3 linked regions of the Drosophila melanogaster genome follow. The protein of the gene in region 1 interacts with the protein of each later gene in a pairwise test. Each region holds a gene or a part of one and is shown in the gene's direction. Other genes may lie near its edges.

The links. Proteins that work in one complex are often made in the same cells at the same time.
Region 2: the proteins of Lamtor5 (region 1) and Lamtor4 interact in a two-hybrid assay, tested with the Drosophila melanogaster proteins (one large-scale study listed by BioGRID).
Region 3: the proteins of Lamtor5 (region 1) and CG17777 interact in a two-hybrid assay, tested with the Drosophila melanogaster proteins (one large-scale study listed by BioGRID).

Annotation. Positions count from the first base shown.
Region 1 is NC_004354.4:1,855,146-1,863,265, reverse strand, and holds Lamtor5 (late endosomal/lysosomal adaptor, MAPK and MTOR activator 5), read left to right. Parts: upstream 1-4,294; 5' UTR 4,295-4,363; coding exon 4,364-4,398; intron 4,399-4,468; coding exon 4,469-4,530; intron 4,531-4,587; coding exon 4,588-4,705; intron 4,706-4,859; coding exon 4,860-4,947; 3' UTR 4,948-5,377; downstream 5,378-8,120. Other genes in the region: Gcna (germ cell nuclear acidic peptidase), read left to right, coding at 1-239, 306-563, 623-938; deltaCOP (coat protein (coatomer) delta), read left to right, coding at 1,669-1,671, 1,781-1,820, 1,887-2,110, 2,168-2,580, 2,642-2,839, 2,896-3,209, 3,284-3,395, 3,453-3,747.
Region 2 is NT_037436.4:3,892,409-3,898,544, forward strand, and holds Lamtor4 (late endosomal/lysosomal adaptor, MAPK and MTOR activator 4), read left to right. Parts: upstream 1-4,491; 5' UTR 4,492-4,528; coding exon 4,529-4,683; intron 4,684-4,739; coding exon 4,740-4,947; downstream 4,948-6,136. Other genes in the region: Fie (fire exit), read left to right, coding at 438-581, 1,125-1,506, 1,570-1,706, 1,761-1,850; Gr63a (gustatory receptor 63a), read right to left, coding at 2,591-3,700, 3,776-3,925, 3,986-4,195; Ccz1 (Caffeine, calcium, zinc sensitivity 1), read right to left, coding at 5,051-5,532, 5,596-6,136. UniProt on the Drosophila melanogaster protein: Regulator of the TOR pathway, a signaling cascade that promotes cell growth in response to growth factors, energy levels, and amino acids. As part of the Ragulator complex, may activate the TOR signaling cascade in response to amino acids.
Region 3 is NC_004354.4:2,182,635-2,188,787, forward strand, and holds CG17777 (uncharacterized protein), read left to right. Parts: upstream 1-4,220; 5' UTR 4,221-4,294; coding exon 4,295-4,306; intron 4,307-4,513; coding exon 4,514-4,834; 3' UTR 4,835-5,107; downstream 5,108-6,153. Other genes in the region: Nmd3 (Nonsense-mediated mRNA 3), read right to left, coding at 279-915, 976-1,904; CG17776 (uncharacterized protein), read left to right, coding at 2,331-2,543; CG3457 (uncharacterized protein), read left to right, coding at 5,263-5,841.

The DNA of each region.
Region 1 (8,120 bases):
CCCGTTGCGAGCGGCGGCAAGTGCGGCTTTCTGAAATCCCTGGAGGGACAAGTGAGCCGCGATAGGGCGGACAACGAGGCCTTCTTCTATCGGGAAAACTTCGCAAGAAATAAGGATCAGCTGGCCCAGCATCTTTACAAGATGTATAACGCCCAGGTGTTCAACAACGAGCTGGATGTGCCCATCACCTGGTCCAAATTGCTGCGCAACACTGCCGGCCGGTGCATGAACAAGCGCAAGTGGGTGATTCTTATAGAGACAACCAGATATCCTCCTTGAATTCGATAAATATATATTGTTTGCAGACTTAACCAGCGTAGCAGCGTGGTGGAACTGAGCGTCAAAGTGCTGACTACCGCGGACCGCCTGCGTTGCACCTTGATACACGAACTCTGCCATGCTGCGGCCTGGGTATTCAATGGCGAGGGTGGACACGGACGGGTGTGGAAGATGTGGGCACAAAGAGCCAACGACAAGTTCCCCGATCTCCCGCAGATCAAGGTCTGCCACAACTATAGCATTGAATTCAAGTATACCTACAAGTGCCTGAGCTGCGACAAAGCGTAAGTTCTCCCAAGTGATAAAAAGAATATTATTGTCATGCAGTTTTTACGCATCACAGGTCACATGCCCATTCCCGATCCCGCAAGGTGGAAGATTTGCGCTGCAGGATCTGCCGGGGACCCATCACCCTCTTCCTGAACAAAAAGGACAAGCAAGGAAACACCGTATCCACGCCGGCGGGCGAGGCGAAGGGATTTGCTAAGTTCGTTAAGGACAACTTCCAGAGACACAAGCGCGACAACATGACTGCCGCACAGGTGATGCGCATCCTGAGCGTGGAGTACGCCAAGCAGAAGGGTCAGCCGGCGGAGGAGACAGCGGCGTCGATCGCCAGCCGAGTGGAAACGCTGACACTGGACGAGTCGTCCAACTAGCTGGGTTCTCTTTTGAGTTTTGTTAAATTATGTGCTCCAAGCCCTAAACCATTTTTGGTATATCATAGACAATTTGAAAAACTTAACTGAGATCTCAGTTCGTGCGAAGTAGTAGAAGTAGTATATTTTGTTTAATGTATTATATATTTTCTTAACCAGAAACATGGTTTCCATTAAAATTAAACGGACATTTAAAAGCTAGTGCTGTAAAGCTCGATTTTGCATAGCCGGTGTCGGCCGGCGGTGTTGGTAAAGGCGATGCTTGGACTCATTACTTACAGTGAAAGAGTATGTCTGTTTATGTATGTTAATATATGCCTAATACAACCTATTAAATAATTGCTTTGCACAATCTTGAAATGTTAAATTCTACACTGGTGAAAAGTGAGTAGTGCGGTGTACTTGCTAAGGCTAGACACAACAATTTTCTAGATGGAGTAGCAAAAAAAAAAAAAAAAAATGGCAGGGTATCCACGGGCCTACCTCCTACCTTGGCCCAAGGCGTATTAACACTGTGTTTCCGCAGTGGCGCTGGTCACACTACCCGAACTCACACAAAGCCACGGTAAACATTTGTCGCAGAACCGAACACGTCAGCTACGGGGATTGATTGTTAAACAACGTTTCTATCGCCCCGCAAATCCGATCCGTAGCAGCAGTCCATCCTGCGCCGTCCGCATCCGATCCGCGAAGTATTTTCCAGGGCAAAAACGTCAAACGCAGCAGCAAAATGGTAAGAGCCCCGACCTACGCACGCACACACCTACACGTCGGCGATTTTGGGTCTCATCGGCGGGGGTTATTGCATTCCGGTATTATCACTAAACCTATCCGACTTGCAGGTATTAATTGCTGCGGCTGTCTGCACGAAGAATGGCAAAGGTAAGTGGCTTGCATGCACCGCAAGAAATAATCACTTTAGCTAACCCGTAACGTTTGTACACGCAGTGATTCTGTCACGTCAGTTCGTCGAGATGACGAAGGCACGCATCGAGGGACTGCTGGCTGCCTTTCCCAAGCTGATGACTGCTGGCAAGCAGCACACTTACGTGGAGACGGACTCCGTGCGCTACGTCTACCAGCCGATGGAGAAACTATATATGCTGCTCATCACCACTAAGGCCAGCAACATTCTGGAGGATCTGGAGACCCTGCGCCTCTTCTCGAAAGTGGTGAGTTGCACACGGATGTACTCAAGCCGCAGTGTTAATCAGGCCCATCGCTTGCAGATTCCCGAGTACAGCCACTCGCTCGACGAGAAGGAGATTGTGGAGAATGCCTTCAATCTGATCTTCGCATTTGACGAGATCGTGGCACTCGGCTACAGGGAGAGCGTCAACTTGGCCCAGATCAAGACCTTCGTGGAGATGGACTCACATGAGGAGAAGGTCTACCAGGCAGTGCGTCAGACGCAGGAGCGTGATGCGCGCCAGAAGATGCGCGAGAAGGCCAAGGAACTGCAGCGGCAGCGCATGGAGGCCAGCAAACGGGGTGGTCCCTCCCTGGGTGGCATTGGCAGCCGCAGCGGCGGCTTTAGCGCCGACGGAATTGGCAGTAGCGGCGTGAGCAGCAGTTCCGGTGCCTCCAGCGCCAACACCGGCATCACCTCCATCGATGTGGACACCAAATCCAAGGCGGCTGCGTAAGTTCTTTCTCTGCTCTATTAAATCTAGGCTCCTGACTCATTGCTCTGATTTCATCAGCAGTAAACCAGCTTCCCGCAATGCCCTCAAGCTAGGTGGCAAGTCCAAGGACGTCGATAGTTTCGTGGATCAGCTGAAGAACGAGGGCGAGAAGATTGCCAATCTGGCACCGGCGGCGCCCGCTGGAGGTTCCAGTGCTGCAGCTAGCGCCAGTGCAGCGGCCAAGGCAGCTATCGCGTCGGACATTCACAAAGAGAGGTGGGTTTCAGCTCGATTGTATAGTTAGTTATTAAATGCATAACATCTATTTTCAGCGTACATCTGAAGATTGAGGACAAGCTAGTAGTGCGTCTGGGACGCGATGGTGGCGTGCAGCAGTTCGAGAACTCGGGCCTCCTGACGTTGCGCATTACGGACGAGGCCTACGGACGCATTTTGCTGAAGCTGTCTCCCAACCACACACAGGGCCTGCAGTTGCAGACCCACCCCAACGTGGACAAGGAGCTGTTCAAGTCGCGCACTACCATCGGACTAAAGAACTTGGGCAAGCCGTTTCCCCTTAACACCGATGTGGGTGTGCTCAAGTGGCGCTTCGTCTCGCAGGACGAGTCGGCAGTCCCGCTGACCAGTAAGTTCATCCAAACCCAAACAACTTCTTCCCTCTCGCTCAGCCACGTGCTTGTGTTTCTCCCTTTTTCCCAGTTAACTGCTGGCCATCGGATAATGGAGAGGGTGGATGCGATGTTAACATTGAGTATGAACTGGAGGCGCAGCAGCTAGAGCTGCAGGACGTGGCCATTGTCATTCCCTTGCCGTAAGTGTAGTAATGGCGTAGATGTGCAGGCGATTACTTATTCCATTTCACCCTTAGAATGAATGTGCAGCCTTCGGTGGCGGAGTACGACGGCACCTACAACTACGATTCACGCAAGCATGTGCTCCAGTGGCACATTCCAATAATCGATGCCGCCAACAAGTCCGGTTCTATGGAGTTCAGCTGCAGTGCCTCCATTCCCGGTGACTTCTTCCCCTTGCAGGTGTCCTTCGTCTCGAAAACGCCGTATGCGGGCGTCGTGGCCCAGGATGTGGTGCAGGTGGACAGCGAGGCGGCGGTCAAGTATTCAAGCGAGTCCATTCTGTTCGTGGAAAAGTACGAGATCGTGTAGGCCGCGCCGCTGGCCACGCCCACCTAAGTAGTACATAAATATACATAATTTCCCGGGGTCATCCGATGCGATGCAATTAATTCAACTGCTGCAGCATGTTGAGAATTATTTTTCCATGTGCGAACTTTACATATTTATGGCGCAGACAGCTTCTCAGAGCGAGTAATTGATTCCAAAAAAAAAAAAAAAAACACCATCAAAGCCAATTAATTAAACTAATTTTGTGCACTCCGCTGCGCTGCATATAACGGTATCAAATAAATTAATTGCAATTAGTTGTAACTGGCGATTGCAGTGTTTTGTTTTGTGTGCTTCGTCGCACCCCTTCGATTTGAGTAATTTGTATGTAGATTGCTATGAATAAACCATATACAATATACACCAAAGTGGATTGTTTCTGGATTCTTAACTATAAGCGAAGGTTATCCCTTTTTTTTAAACTAAAAACTAAATATTAAATTTGAGTCACTTTTTTTTGCAAGTAGTACCCACTGTGCATGGATTCTTAACGCCCGGCTTATTGGTATTGCCGTCTTCTCGGCGAGCGGTCACACTGGTCATTGTTTTGGTTCTGTTCTTGCTTTGTTTTTTCACTGCGGAAATAACGACGTCGTCCATGGAGCAGCAACTGGAGAAAGTCCTAGCGGAAATGTAGGCACACTCGATCCGTCGATTCCAGATAGTACTCCAAATAAACCACAAATCCATAACGTATTTTCAGCGCCGCACGGCAGGACACAGTGGGAGCTCTGCTGGCCAATCGCCAGGGATTGTGTTTGGGCAGTGAGTATCGATGATTAGTCAGTGGCCGTGCCGTAATGCCACAATACATTTTTGCAGCCAAAGGAGACATTGATCCGAACGTGTCCGGCATCGGAATGGCCATTTCCGAGCAGGTGGCCAAACTGGAGCTGAATGCCACGGCTCCTGCAACGATTTGCCTTTACAGCGGAAACAAGTAAGTGGGAGGAGGGATATGAGGGGCTGTATCTAGGTGGACTAGATACGGACTACTCTTGGAATAGTCGGAATAGTTTAAAGAATGTACCTTAAACTATTTATGAATTATATTTCTGCTGCGTATTAATTGACACCCGTTTCTTTCCCCGCAGACGCTGTGTCATCCAGAAGGACGGCGAGATCACAGGCGTTATCTTCAAGCAGCCGACGGGTACATCGGCGACCGCCCCCAGCAACTAACGAAAGTTGGGGCCTCAATCGCAACTCTCAGGCCAAATACGCAAGTCAAAATACGGATACGGATACAAAGCCAGATACAGATACTTATATCTTCCAAGTCGCGCCCGCTTCGCTCGATTCGCCCGATGGTAGCGCCTGTTACATTTGTCGCTCATTCTAACCGATAGCCATTACCATAAGCATTGTTTTGTACGACTCGCATAGCATAAGCATTACGGATTACGCATTAAGCACTGCTGTTACTTGATCTTGTTTGTCTTAACCAGTCTAGCGTCATCAACATGTACATAAAGACTTTGTACGATTAAGCCCCAGAAAGTAAACACAATGTACACCAATTAAATTTATAGCGATGAAGCAAGCCAGCTAAGAGCTTTTGAACTTGGCCATTTACTCGATTTTCAAACGTAATTACTGAATCATAACGGCCTGGTGTGCTTCGTGCAGCAGTATCTTGCACATTTTCCGGGTTTGCATTTCGGGTTGGGTGCACCGCATCGAGGAAATGCCGGCGCCCACGTCATGTAAGAAGTTGTACACAAACGTGGACGTGGACGTGGGCATGGCATGATGCATGCAACAAGGCGGTAACAATGCAGCGGTATCAGTAGTGCCAGCAGACAAATTGCAGCGCATTCCGGAGCCCACGAGCCATGCTATCCACAATACACACTCAATGGAAGAGATTGTTTCAAATAGCTAATCGCCATATTAGTTCGTTTACATGCGAAGTCCTTGCTGATTGGAATTCGCTTTAGAAGGCGTTCGCTCTAATTGGAAGGTATCCTTCCTGGCAAGAGAGGTGTGGCGCCTTAAACTACTGCAGATCTGCGATCCCTGGTTCCATGATCCTTGTGGCACCGCCGCGATGTGGAGCTTGTTTGGTTGGTTTTGCGCCTCGGATATGCAAGCACATCTGCTAGGTAAACCCACTCTGTTTGCGGCTTGTGTCTACCTGTTGCAGCCTTGAACTTTCACCAGGGGCACTGGCGACCCACGTGTGGCGTCTAGGCCTCCGTCGTTGCCTCTTTTTCGTTTTTTCCCTGCGTTTCTGTGGGTGTCGAAAAGCTGCGGCTGTGCAAGGTAAACACCGCAGAGACAATAAAGTTGATAAAACATGACAAAAACAAAAAATGAGCACCGAAATTGGCACCAAGGTGCGTTTGTTTAGCCAGCGCAATAAAGCCTTCAACTCGAATTAAGCGTTCAGTTGGATGGATCCCCATGTGACCAGTGATGACCTATCTCGGTGTTTGCGTACCATCGGACATGGAGAGCCCCACTCAAATTGTTCGCGCTTCATGACCCTTATAACTCATACGCAGCATTGACATAAGAAACACAGGGCATTACAGAAGTATTCCCATTATTGAAATGCCACCATTTTATGTCTATCTCTAAAAACTGACGTGGATACCCAGAATGCCGAGCGCAGCGAACATTAACCCACATTATTCTTGCTCATCCACTGTAAGCTTCACTTTCGTTTTTATAGAACTGAAATCACGACGCGGAAAACTGGTTACCTTTCCCAACGAAAGTCATCTCTCGAAAGCGAGATGATTCACGTTGCAGTCGAAGAGAAATTCCAAAGTGCGGCGCTGCATTTTTCACAAATGCATGCGTGTACATACATATACATATATCGAATCTGATCTGATCCACCAATAAGATTTCCGACTGTTTAAGATTCGAGAAACAAGGCATTAAATAAACAAAGAACCTCATTAAGGTCATAATAATAAGCGGCAATAGTAACCACAATAATAACGTAGTGTGAAGCTACAGGAATACAAAGCCTTCCAAAATAATACGCTTTTTGTTTACAAAAAAGGTAAAACTCGTCTGAATATAGAATGTCATACCTCGTTGGACTCGTATTAAAATTTCCCATCGGATGGCATTCCAGGCTGGAAATGTTGAATTTTGACCATTTTTCGCAAAAAATGATGATGTTACCCCTTACAGAAAATCAAAATTTTGGCATAAAATATTTTTGTTCGAAATCATCACGCAAATTATAGGGCTCGTTAGTTGGGAACATTAGCTGCATAAAGATGTAATTGTTATATCTGTGCGAGGTTTTTTGGGCAAGTTATGATGTAACACCTCCGTAATGAACCTAGTTTTGCTCAAATCCTGTTTTTTTTACCTAGAATAATATGTTTTTTATTCATAACATCTAAAGTATCGGTCTAATCATGGAATGTCATACCTCGTTGGACTCGTAATAAAATTTCCCATCGGATGGCATTCCAGGCTGGAAATGTTGAATTTTGAACATTTTTCGCAAAAAATGATGATGTTACCCCTTATAAAAAATTCTAAATTTTGAAAAATTTTTTTTTTTTTAATCCCCTTAAAAGTGGTGGGCGTCGTTAGTTTGGATAATTAGCTGTGCAAAGCACTATTTTGTATGGATGTTTGACCTTTTTTTGCCCTGTTATTAAGAAAAACAATCCGAAAAAACGTATTTTACTAAAATCCTGATATCTGTCCAAAATGATGTATGATTGTACCAGACATTCGGAACCAGATATAGCTTGATGACAGTGTAGTGAGCAATTCTTCTTTTTTGGGTGTAACATCTCGTCATGATCTTGGGTGATTATGTCATGGGCTATGCGGTTAATCGCGGTCTCCAAATTCTTTCAACTTGGAGTATAGTTCGATGGGCAGCAATTACTTGCTTTTTATAGCTGAACCGCAAAGATTTTGGTAGGCTGGTCAACAGGTGACGCAAAATCGATTGAAATAAAATAATATGCCACAGTGATGACGACTTCTTTTTCATAAAAAGCTTACGCTCGTGAATCATCGGATTGGGGAACTCGATTTCGGGTTTTCGCCTTATTTGGTCAATTCTACAGCCGATTCGGAGTATTGCACAATCTGCATGAATCATTGGCCATTTGGCCGAATGCCACTGCTTGGCATCTGCTCAGATAGCCCCCAAGTTACTATCATTGTTTTGCCAGATAGCTTTCAGAATGTAATTCTCCGAACTTTAAAGTAGAAACTGCACGTGGTTATGGAGGAGTTTGTTCTGCCCAGCCGTGGCGTCTTTTAAGTGGTCACCTAATTGCGTCACTTTGGGGAAAGATTTGCATGCCACCATTCCATGGGAGTCGTCGTCGTCGACGACTGGCTGTCTGGCGGAAAGCCTTAAATGG
Region 2 (6,136 bases), on another chromosome or scaffold:
ATTAAGCCATAAATTTAAAAAAAATATTTGGTTAGTCTAAGAATACTTTGATTTTTGAATTATCCTTACATGTACATATATTGTATAAACCACACGCTTTAGATAGCCAAAAAACTCAACGGCAGAGTATGAAACAAAACACAGTCGTAAAAGCTTTTCGCCGAGTCAAAACATTTTGCGGACCTTGGCACTCAACGTTGTTTTATCCATATAGTTTTTTTGATTAATTCGCTAGTGCAGTTTACGCCCCAAACCACAGGAAAAAGCTCCGGAAAAGTTTGGGTCGCGTGGGTGTTGCCCCTCCACCTTTTCGCGAGGTCTCCAAGTTCAATTGCATGACGAAACAGCCGCGGAACAGTTGCGTCGCTCCTTGATTAGCTGAATAAGCGGGAAAAATCCATAAATTGATTAAGTAAAACTCGGAAAACTAAAGTGAAATGCTGCTGCCAACGGTCAGCGGCCAATCCGCCGCAGGATGCAAATGGAAAAACTGCTGTCGCCGCAGCTGGGAAATGCTGATGGCGCCCGTATCGCCCAAGAACCTCAGGACCACGGCGCTCTTGACGAGCATCTACCAGTTGGTAAGTTCAAACATACATGTATATATAGTAGCGGATTATATAAGAGACTGGAGAATGGATATCTCAGGCGGGGCGCAGCGCACTGGCACGCAGGGAGATCCGGGAATCCCCGAGCAATCCACAATGTGCAGCCGCGGCCCCAAATACAAAAATTACGCACTGGATATGCAAAGCCATACCCCACTGGGCGCGCAAGGAGGCGTCGAAGGCGGCAATGGAACGCTCGCCCCCGCCTATCCCCGGAGAAGTCCAGGGGCGGAGCGAAGGAGACGCTCCTGCGGCGCAATGCGTCCGCACTTGAGTTTCGTGATCGGAAACGTGCCAGGACGAGCACCCTTTTTAAAGCTCTTCTCCTGAAATATATTGGGAGTTGTTGCGAAAGCTCCTAGAACCAGTTGGGAATTGTAGAAGCAGCTTTCTGGCTTCGTTCAGTTTGGTGAAAAATAAGGGTGGTAGCTTCAGCAGATCGCTGGGTTGTTCCGGTTTTCGCAAACACTTTTTGTTAAGTGAGATCCTAAACAGTCGCTTTTCTATATTCCCCAGTTAATCTCCCACTGCGCCCTTTTCCTGGTTCTCCTGGGACTGGCGCATGCCGAACAGATGTGCGAGGTGCTGGAGCTGGACATCTTGGACCAGAAGGACAATGGTTTCTACAACATGTCGCCCTTTCACAACGATCTTCGCCTGCAAACCGCTGCCCAATTGGCCGTCGCCACGGAGAATCTGCTCTACGTGATGGCTGGTATCGCGGGTACCTACGCCCTGAGTGCCATATTCCTGTTTTTCGGAGTCTTCAAAAATCGGCCGGGCCTAATCATACCCTGGCTGGTTGTGGAGTTCCTATTAATGATTGGTTTGGGGGCACTGGTCTTCATGCTGAGGGATACAAAAATCGTGCAATTGCTGGGTGGTCAAGTGCCCTACTGTAAGTTTGGATTTTTAGGCTTAAATTTTGAAGTAAATAATAACGAATTATCTTATATTTCAGTTATCATTTGCTACATCTTGATCTGCATGGATTACTGCAAGTGGTATGTGATGCATAGCTTCTACCAGAGTCTACGCACCATGAATAAGCTTCGAGAGATTGCCACTGTGGCCATACCATGTCCAGCTCCAGGAGCCGTAAGTTGGTATCAATATTTTGAAAACTTTAATAGTAACTTTCTTATACATTAGATACCCTATCGTTTCCAACGCGAGCACATGTATCTGGGCAGCAATGGATATAAGCACATTCTAACCGAGTCTCCCGATGGACAGTGTTAAACATGTACTGAAAGATTGGATATTTTTGGAACTTCCCATCAGGTGTCTTGATTGCAATTGCACTGCAAATTCTGTATTGCAAAACAGAGTGTGATATGGTTTTGGTAGAGATACTATTTTATATAGCCAACGGACATGGAGCGGCTTATTAGAAATGCAGAATCGGTTCAAAGCGTTCGGCGATTAAACTATAAACTATTTTTGTGTAGAAATAGCTCCCAAAGCACCTTAAAAAATAAAAAAAATAATAATAATATTTGGTCACTAACGCGACTCGAACTCGGAACTTCGAAGCGAAGGTCGCACTCTCTAACCCCTAGGCTACGGCAGCGAAACTCTCGGGATAGCCGAGATTGATTAAGCCCCAAAATCTTGAAACGAAAAACTTGTCTTAAATAAATTGGCGTTCATACAAATATGTATTGTAGCAACGAATTTTTTAAAGCTTAGTTTCTCAGTAGATTTACCACTACTTAACTATAATATGCCTTAAATTCTGTTGACTAGCAATATTTTAGGTATTTCTATTTTGTGGCACAGAACGAATATCAAATAAAAGTGCAAAATTGTAACATATCTAATGAACGTGTTTTTTATTATTTCCACACTTACTAATTTAATGTACATCAAGTTAGAAAAATGTTTGGAATATTCAGTTTTGGGTGCTTTTATTATTTGGCCTCAGCTACAGATGCACATTATCTAATAATATCTTTCTTGTCTTAGGATTATTTGTTCCACTAGCCTTTCCGGCCCTTTAGCTTCATAATTGGCGGTGGCAAAGTGGTTCCTACAGTGGTGGTGCTCAGAGTGCTGGCTCCCATTAGACTCATATCGTTATCCAGGCTGTCCATTACAAAGTCCACTACGGTTATATTGTTAGCGCCTTCAGAATCCCCCTTATCTGTGGGGATACTGATCTGAAACTGCAGCAAAACCACCAGATAAGTGACCATTGTGGTTAAGAGTCCTTTAAAGAGAGTCCTGTTCACATCAAAAAAGCCACCGCAGTTGATGGTCGATGGATTCATTTCGGTGGCTCGCAAAAACATATTTATCTCCGTCTGGGCATCCGAGTTCATCCAGTTAAGCTCCACCATGAGTAGTTTCTTCTGGAAATTGGTTCGCACATTAACCGAGGCATAATGTGCCTCATCGCAAATATAGAAGAGCAGTCCTATGTTCCACAAAGCCGTGATAGTCAGTCCTATGTCCTTGATGCCAAATCCCTCGGAGAGTTGCGACATTAGTCCATAAATCGAAAGGGTAATGATGAAGAACAAGTAGAGGCTCATGAAAACAAAGGTGTAGCACAGGGCATTTCCAGTATCACGGGTCAACTTGCTCAGTCGTAGCCACAGAACACGGTAGTCTGCCACCATGGCAGCGGGTCCAATGTGTTTCAGTGCCTTCTGGAACCGCTCCGCCAGAAGATGAGCCGTAATGCTCATGGCCTCGCAGATGAGGAACCACCAGGCACCCAGCATTGCAGTCAAGTTGTCCAGGATGCAGTAGGGCACCACCTGGTTAATGTTCAAATCCGACATGGTGACGTGCGTGATGACCACCGATAAAACCGAGAGAATTGGCAGCACGATGGCTATGTACACCGCCTTCTGTCGCAATTTCAGAGGCAAACTGTGCCCGGATATCTGGTAGTACAACACCTCAAAGTCATCCCAATCATTGAAGAGCTTTGCTATCTTCCTGGCCTCGTACCACAATATTGGTATAATCATAATGGGCAGGATGTTGACCAGAAAGAGGTATGCAATAACCGCCTCCTCGAAGGGTCCACTCAGGGAGCGCACAATGTGGATGCGGTTGTTGGCCACATAGCCTACATAGCACTGTAAAGCGGTTTTGGGTTACATAATGGTATCCATAGTCAATTTTGAAAAATGTTATGCAAACACCACACTCACCGCCAGGAGCACAAAGAAAACCACCGAGTAAATAAAGGAGGCGGAGTTCATTTCGAACTTGGCACGAGCAGGACCATGTCGCACGATGGGTAATACTCCAATAATCCTCAAGAACCAATTGATGGGATCTATGTTTCGGTAGAAAACACTCTGAAAGCAGCGAAATTCAGTTTTACAAAAATGGTTTTAACAGCGTAGCAATCCACAAACCGGCTTAAATTCCGGATTATTGGACGCCGTGCTGTCCGAGCTCTTTTTCCTATCCAACGGAGGAGCTTCGTAATCCGCATCCAATCGCTCCGCCAATCCAATGGAGTACTTGCGGACCCCGTACAAGTATGCCTGGGCATTAGCACTGTTCAGCGGTTTTGCATTGAGGAACACCGCGTCACCCTTCTTGCGTCGATAGTAGTTGGCCATTCCGGAGAGACTGTGTCCGGAATTTCCTTGTCCGTGGCCTTTTACCACTTTTTCGCCAGACGGACGCATTAGCCATGCACCTGCACACGCCCCCTTATCGACCACGCCCTCTGTTGACTTAGAGCCGGAGTTTTAGTTTCCTGTTGATGTGCGTTGTTTGTCTTTTGAATGAATTAACCTTAGCCCGGTGTCCCAATTTCGAATTTGTGTCAATGGCGCGCATGTGGCAATTTACAACACTGAAACCGGGCTGCCAGGCTACCGATTTGGTATCTAAATGGATCTAGTCCGGTCACACTGGTGGGTGTGGGTGCGAAAGATAAATAAATAAATATGTTGAAAATGGACAGGGAAAAGTTGATTGTGCCCAATCAAATTGGCTATCTGATACTAAAGGAAGATGGAGCAGTTCTGGAGTCCGGCGGAGATCTGAAGAACGATGAGCGCAGTGCAAATGTGATAATGGGATTACTAAATCTCACAGAGACGTGCGTTTTTAAACAAAGGATGAAGGAATTTTGTAATAATTACGCCTATATTGTAGCATCGACGAGTCCTTCATGCCGAGCAGCAGCTGCGAGAGGATCACCATCGATTACGAGCATCACTACTACAGCATCTGCATGTCCAACCGTAGAATATACATCATTAAGATCAGCAAATCGCAGAATGGCGTCACCACGACCACGAGCTCCTCCTCGTCGAACAGCGTGTATAACGATGCCAGCGATTCCGGGGCAGTGCTGGCTTGAAATCCGTCGTCGGATGTCCGACCCACTTGCAGATTCTGTTGGCAAGCAACCGGACAAAGACCCCACAATTGGCGCACTCCCATTATTTACCTAATCCTCCTCTTTATTTGTCAAAAAATACATCATCTGTGAGCTCTTGCTCGAAAATGCGCCTCGCTTCCTGGGTGACGTCCAGCAAGGTGGCCTTGCTATTGCACAGGATCACATAGTACTGCCTGTAGTTACAGCGCCGCTTCACAATCCAATAGTCATTGGTGGTCTTGACCTGAACTTCCTCGGCAGGAGCACTCTCCATTTCCGCCTTGCCACTGCCATTGGCCAAGTCCGCAATGATACTAAGCACATTGCGGGGCAGCCCTTGGGGCAGGTGCCTCTGAAAGTTCGTGTGGTGCTGCAGGCTTTGTTCGTTAATGAACAAGTACTTCGGCGCCGTTTCGCTGTTCCCGCTGGAGTTGTCCTGGCCTGCAGCACCCACCGCCTCCTTTGTCAACTCGCTGGATATGTCCCGGGCCAACGAAGTCAGTTGGGGAGCCATGTAGGCATGGAGATCGTCGTAGAGATCTTGTTTCGGCGCAACCTGGTCAGCTGACAAATGTGGAATGTTTCAAGTTGATTATTTTGGCTATTTAGTTCTAATCCTTAACATACCATTCAGAAACAGACACAGAGTTATGTGCAAAGCGCGGTAGATGAGCAAGTAGTAGGGTTTGGCCTCCTTGTCCAGTGTCACATAGACCTTCATTGGATGATCTTCCTCATTCACAGCGTCATGTTCATCTCCTGCGACCTTCTGACGACTTCTTACGAATCCGCCCACCTGGCATTCACTTATGCTTCGCTTTAGTGAAGGAGAAACTGCAATGGTGGAACTGCTGGCCTCGACTTTCAGCACGTGTTGCACGACATACGAGTGCACGCAGTGCAGATCCTCCGGGCTAAGTTTTCCGCCACAAAGGACCTGCTCCTGGTAGAGCATTATGCTCTCCTTGATGTCGGGGAAGGTCTCGCACAGGGTGCCAAAGTTTTGGGCCCGCAAGAAGAGCGTTTTATCCAATGGCAGATACTGAATGGAATGCAGCATATCGATGATATCACATTGCGCGGGATCCCTCAGGTTGGTCAGATGCTGATCATAGAACTGGAGTAGCTTCTGGCAGAGCAGTTCCCTACGCTTATCCGGATTAGGTTC
Region 3 (6,153 bases), 330 kb from region 1:
AGCGCAACCGTTATGTTACCAACGTTAAGCTTACACCAAAAAGACATAGCGAATTTCCCATTTACGATAAATTGACGAAGGCAAGCGAGTGAAATATGGAAGCAATCAGTATTCCAAATTTAAGTTACTTTGCAACCTTGGTAACATAAAGGCAAATTAGTTTCAGAGTATTCACACATTAAGCTCTATCCAGTTTCCTAGTTGTTTATATGGATTAAGCGATTATGTACAGGGTATACATGGGTAAAAGAAAGCGTTATGATTAATAAAAAAAAGGACTACAACTGTGGCTCGGTATCGTCAGCACCTCCCTCCTCGCCCATTTCGTCGTCTGCACACTCTAATGTCATATCTTCCAACATCTCCTCCAGTGTGATCTGGGGCACATCACCTCCAGCGGCCTGTACCTCGATTGGTATCGTCTTGTTAGTGTCCCGATAGATGTTGACCTGACCGCGGATATCCTCGTTTTCCTCGAGATCGTCAAGAAACTCGTGGTAGTCGTACTTGCTGCGCTCATCGGTAGCCTCCGCCGCCAGATGCTTAATCTTCCACACGCGCTGACTGAGTCTGGTCTGTCGATCGTAGTGCTTGCGCACAAGAATTACATCCGGAATTTCATCCGACGACAATTTGTCGAACTCCAGATCGTTGATGTTGGCCTCTCCGGTGTTGTAGCCCATTACGGAATCGCCCACCTTGAGCAGGTGGCCCAAGTGGGAGCGTGTGTGAATGGGGTTATCGTTGATGCCCAGCTCCGAGGCGCGCACCACCCAAATGTCGCAGAGAGCGTGCTTGAAGGAAACCTGCCCTTGACCAGGATAGGTCTTTCGATCCTTTTCCATGATCACATCAATGTCCATGACGACGTACTCAACCAGCTGCTTGGGATTGCAGACGGCCTCAAAGGGAGCTCTGAAAAAAGCAATTTAATTGGCTTACTCGAAGATAACCTTTGTCAAATAGGAGTCCCACCTGAAATAGACCTGCGAGGTGAGTTCTGCAATCTGTGCGGTCAGGGGATCAATCAAGTGAATGCTGCTAGACACCCGGTTGACCAGAACCAATGGCGAGAGATTTCCCAGCTGGTGGCGCAGCTTTTTGGACAGGCAAACTGCACTGTCCTTCGATACTGGTGCTATTTCCACTGACCAGTTGTACTTGTAGTTATAGTTGTTGCTGTGGATGTCGTGAGAGATGAGACGCTTCGAGGTTGTTACCTTGCCGGGCACCATGGTCAGGAGGAAATCAACCATGCGCCGGGCATGATTATCATTGGCATAGAAGAAATCCAGGCCGCCATGCTCCGGCTTTATGCCCAGAGTGTTCTCGTGGGCTTTGTGCTTAAGGATCAGCTGTTCCAGATAGTAAAAGGTTTTCTTGTTCTCGGCCCGCTGACGAACCTGCACGAGGCAGCGCCAGAAGTCCTTGGCCTCGGTCCGATGGCAGTCGTTGCACATCTGGTTCTGCACAGTGAACTCCACCACGAATACCTGCTGGAGCATCGTTCCCCCGATGATCTCCCCATGCACAGTCAGCTTCACCTTTATGCGCTTGGAGTGCTGTTCTGTCCAGATGAAGCCGGCATCCACCAACTTCACTTCCTTCAGGCCTTTTAGCTTCTTAAGGCAAATGGCCAAGAGTTCGCGGGACTCCAAGGCGGCCTGTATCCACTCGTTCGGCGGTTGCAGATAGCGCTCGCAATTACGACAGAAGTGGAGCACGGCCTGCTTTGGGATGTTCTCCGTGATGTCGACATGGTTGCGCAGGCAGGTGACGCACATGTTGGCCGGATTCGGCTGGATGGCCACTCCGCACTCGCAGCACAGGATGACGGCGTTCGATCCGGCGCCCTTGCCGTCCGCTGCGCCCAGCGGGCTAACCCCAACGTATTCGTGATCCATGAATCCTCCGGAGGTCTATTCGGTCCAGCTATTTCACAATGGCGTTGTAGAATACGATGAAATATTCCCACGAAGTACACAAATTTGTAAACACGTGCGTATAGGTGTATATCGATTGGCCAGAGATCAGCGATATTATTAATCGGCGATTTAAGTTAAGCCTTTTCCAGCTAGAGTAGCTAAAAGTGAGATTAACGATAAAACGACGTTAAACGAGTGAGACTCAAAGCTAAATGGGACATTTGGAACGATTTCCTAAAATTCACTTAAAAATATAGTACTCATTCGACTGTCTTCATCTTTATTTTGGCTAGTAAATGTACGCCCAATTATCGATACATTCGCCGCCGTCATCACTGACAGACCAGCTGAGGCGACGGACTCGACTGCCGGAAACTTTTATGGACTTGGAAGGGATTTGCCGCCATGCAGAAGAAGCCGATTAACACCAACACGCTGCTGGACAAGCTGCACCGCGGCGCGGTGTATGCCTGCATTGGAGTCACCCTGTACGGCACCTACATCCTGGGAATGCGCTACTACCACTACTGCACGGTCATCCGACCGGAGAAGCAGCAGGCGGAGCTGAAGCTCCTGGACGAGGGAGCCCACGACAAGGCCAAGGAACTGAAGTACTAGGCGCGCCCTCCTCCGCCCCTTTAATTGTTAAATGTCTGTTAAGCGCAATAAACTGTAAGGAAATGTAAGCATTTTCAGCTGAAAACGGCCAACGCCGGTTGTTGTTGTGTAACCTCGGACAGCTGGCCAAAGTGGAGGACCGTCGGCAGGCCCGGTGGGATTGTAAGATTCCAGATTCAAGATCTAACCCTGGAACCAAGCCAACAATGCGCAATTAGCCGTCTGGGCCGTAAATCAAACTGGTCGGCTACAATGGGAAATCAATCAATCGACAGCGACATGGACATCGACCCGTTCGGCGGACTAGACTTAGTCAAGAATTATAATTTAGCTGGCAATCAAATATGTTGTCATCTCCGGATCGTGACCAGGTCCCAGTCCATAGACCAAACCCCTTGGCTGCTTGGTCTTCCGCTTGCCCAACGCGTCTCGCGTGCATTCACCTCCAATGGGCAGAGCATAAATATTAAACGATGTGGATACGAAAACAACCGCGGGGAGAAGGAGACAATGGCGGTGCCACCCACTTTTGGCCAGAGATGGCGAGACGTCGTCGATTGGGAAAATCTTTTGCATGCTTCATTCAACAATGTTGCCTCCGGCGTTGCTTCATTCATGACTTGGGAACTCGGAGCAGCAAAAGCAACAGCCGCAGCAGACTGCAATTGCGATTTGCAATTGCCACTGCGGTCAAGGTCGTCCTTTATTGTGTGGGCACGGCACTGGGTACTGGGTAGCAAGTACCCCCGGCAGACGGAAGTGATCGAGAATAATGGAACGCGCAGAACAGAGTCGTCTGCCCAAATGGCTATCAAATTGTTTTAAAACTTTAGTATATTAAGCAAAAGCTGTGCTCCTCTGAATAGAAGATCTCTTCAACCTAGTTTCAAGCCCATTAAAACTAATGACCATTGACCTGGTCACCGATCCTTGTCCCAATATACCCCTTAAGCCAGAGGTCTCCGTCAAAGTCGTGCACTTTGGATATTCTGTCGATAAGACTTTGCATTGGAAATGATCTGGCAGAGATCTCAGCTGTCTGGCAGCTTAATTAAAATGCCAAAACGCTGCCAAACGTGCAATTGTTTGTAATTTGTGTATAATGCTGGCGCGCATATGCGATTCCCACGGGGCCAGTGGCATCCCAGCATTTGGCCAGCTTCTGAACGAGCTTAGGTAATAGTGCGCCTTTTGGGCGCTGCTGGCCATCCGATCTGGCAGTGAAAGTGTTACACGATATGCATACCGTGTACGAGAGGGGCACTTGGTGATTGTGGAACGCGTCGAGTGTCTCGTGTTGCACGTTGCTTGTGGATCGCGTTGCTGCCCCACTTCGGTTACCCAACGAGCCTGGGATCTTAGAATTTCGACTACGCTGGCAATTATAACCGATATCGTTAGTTTCCACGCCCACTCCACCTCACTCCCCCCACTGCAATCCTCCGCCAAGTTCTCCTCCGCCGGATGAGCGGATGGATGACCTTTTGGCTCCGCAGCATAAACAATATTCGGTTTCAAGTCCTCAACCCGTCATGCATTCAATTCAGCTGCAACAATCGCTGCTGCTGCTGCTGCTGCCGCCGTTATTGTCAGTTTGCATAATTGCAACTGTAGCAGCAACTGGCAACAATAAGCCAAGCCGGGTGACTATAAAAGCGTCGGGCCACTGGCAGCCATCAACAAACCTCGCCTGGCGCCCTACCCATCAAGTCAACCAGCCAACAGCCACTAGCAACATCTGCAGCAGCAACATGAAGTTCTTGGTAAGCAGCAACACCAGGACATTAGGATACCAGGATACCAGGACACCGGTCAAGCAAACGAGTGGACTTTTTTTTGAGTGACAGTTTATCCAACAAAATACAAGTTATTTAAAATTGCTGGAAGTGCTCTGGCTACAATTTGAAACAAATCATTTGTTAACATCGTTTCAAATGTTTCATATACCGAACCTTTTTTTCTCTGTGCAGTGCGTGTTCGTCATCCTGGCCATTTGCTTCATGAGCACCTGGGCAGCAGTTTCGGAGCCTGCTCCTGAAGCTCTGGAGCCGGAGCCATCCGCCGTGGATGAGAAGAAGACGGAGAAGAGAGGCATCTACGGGTTCGGCCACGGCTATGGCGGCTACGGCGGATACGGCGGATACGGTGCCTATGGACACGGTCACTACGGCGGCTACGGTGGACTGAGCAGTCCCTACTACGGCGGCTACGGATACGTCCATGCGGCGCCCTACTACGGCGGACACCACGGCTACTATCCGTACCACCATGGCCACTACGGCTTCTACTAGGACCACTACCTATCCCCAAGATCGTAATGCATACTGTTTTTTTTTTCTCGATCGCTCCATGCTCATCACTGCACCATCATTCGTATATGTATATGTACTGGTTTTCCCCCATCATTCACCGCAATATAAATGTACTGCAAATAGCGAATACATTACTCGCATGTCTTTGAATTTGGGTTGGATGTAGTACAAATATGATATATGTACATATGTAAACAAAGTTAAATCCTACTCAACAATAAAGAATCGATTACATTGCATATGTATGACAGTAAAAGTGATTTTCGGTCACTCTATGGGGGCCAGTGAAGGTATAAAGCCGCTATTGGCCCAGTGACTGTTATACAAAAGTCACTGTTCTAATTGCGATCGGCGCGTGACCACCAGTCTTTCGGATCATCAGCAAAAATCAGGAATTCGACTTCGAGATGCTGAAGCGCGATCTGCAGAAAATCACACTCAAGCTGTCCGATCTCAAGGACTATGAGGTTGCCCGCCAAAAGAACAAGTTAAAGGGCGCCCCGCGACCTAGGCTTTCTCAGGACGCCCTCCCCGGAGACGACGCCTCCACTTCGGGAACAACGGCAAGTTGCAGTTCCAACACGGAAACGGCCACGGAAACCGCATCGGGATCCGGATCAGGGTCTGGATCGGGCTCGGGTTCTGGGTCCGGGTCGTACATTACGGGAATGGGCTACCGTTCGGAGACACCCTCCTCCGCATCGTACACCACGTCGACGACCCCGACTCCGGCCACTCAGGAGGAGATACTGAGACCCTCGTCCGCCGTCACGGCCACCACAACCACTGGCACCACTAATTCCGGCTCCACGGATGACGTGAGCGTGGCGGCCGTAGTGGATGACACGGATACCATTGACGAAATCAGCGATGACAACTGGGTGGACCTGAATGCGGACACCAACGATACCGTTGATACCCAGCCGGAGGAGCAGGACCAACTGCAAGAGGTGGAGGAGGAGGATGGGGCTAGGGGAGGAGTGTAATCCTGACCGCTTATCGCGTTATGAAAACATAGCGCAGCTGCACTCAAAGCCCACCCCCCCCCCCCCCATTTCACATTCCATTTATCATAACAATTTGTATACGTAAACAAGTATAATAACCCATTGCATGCTCCACTTACCTAGCTGCTAATAATAATAGTTTGCAAGGTTATATGTCGCTTATGTCATCTTCAAATCGAAACATATGCATTTTATAGATTTGGTTAACTACGGTAAATGGTTTTGCGGCCTTTTAATCGGGAGGACGTGCGATCGGATTATATCGAGTGGGGAATGCGGGTCCTCCTAATT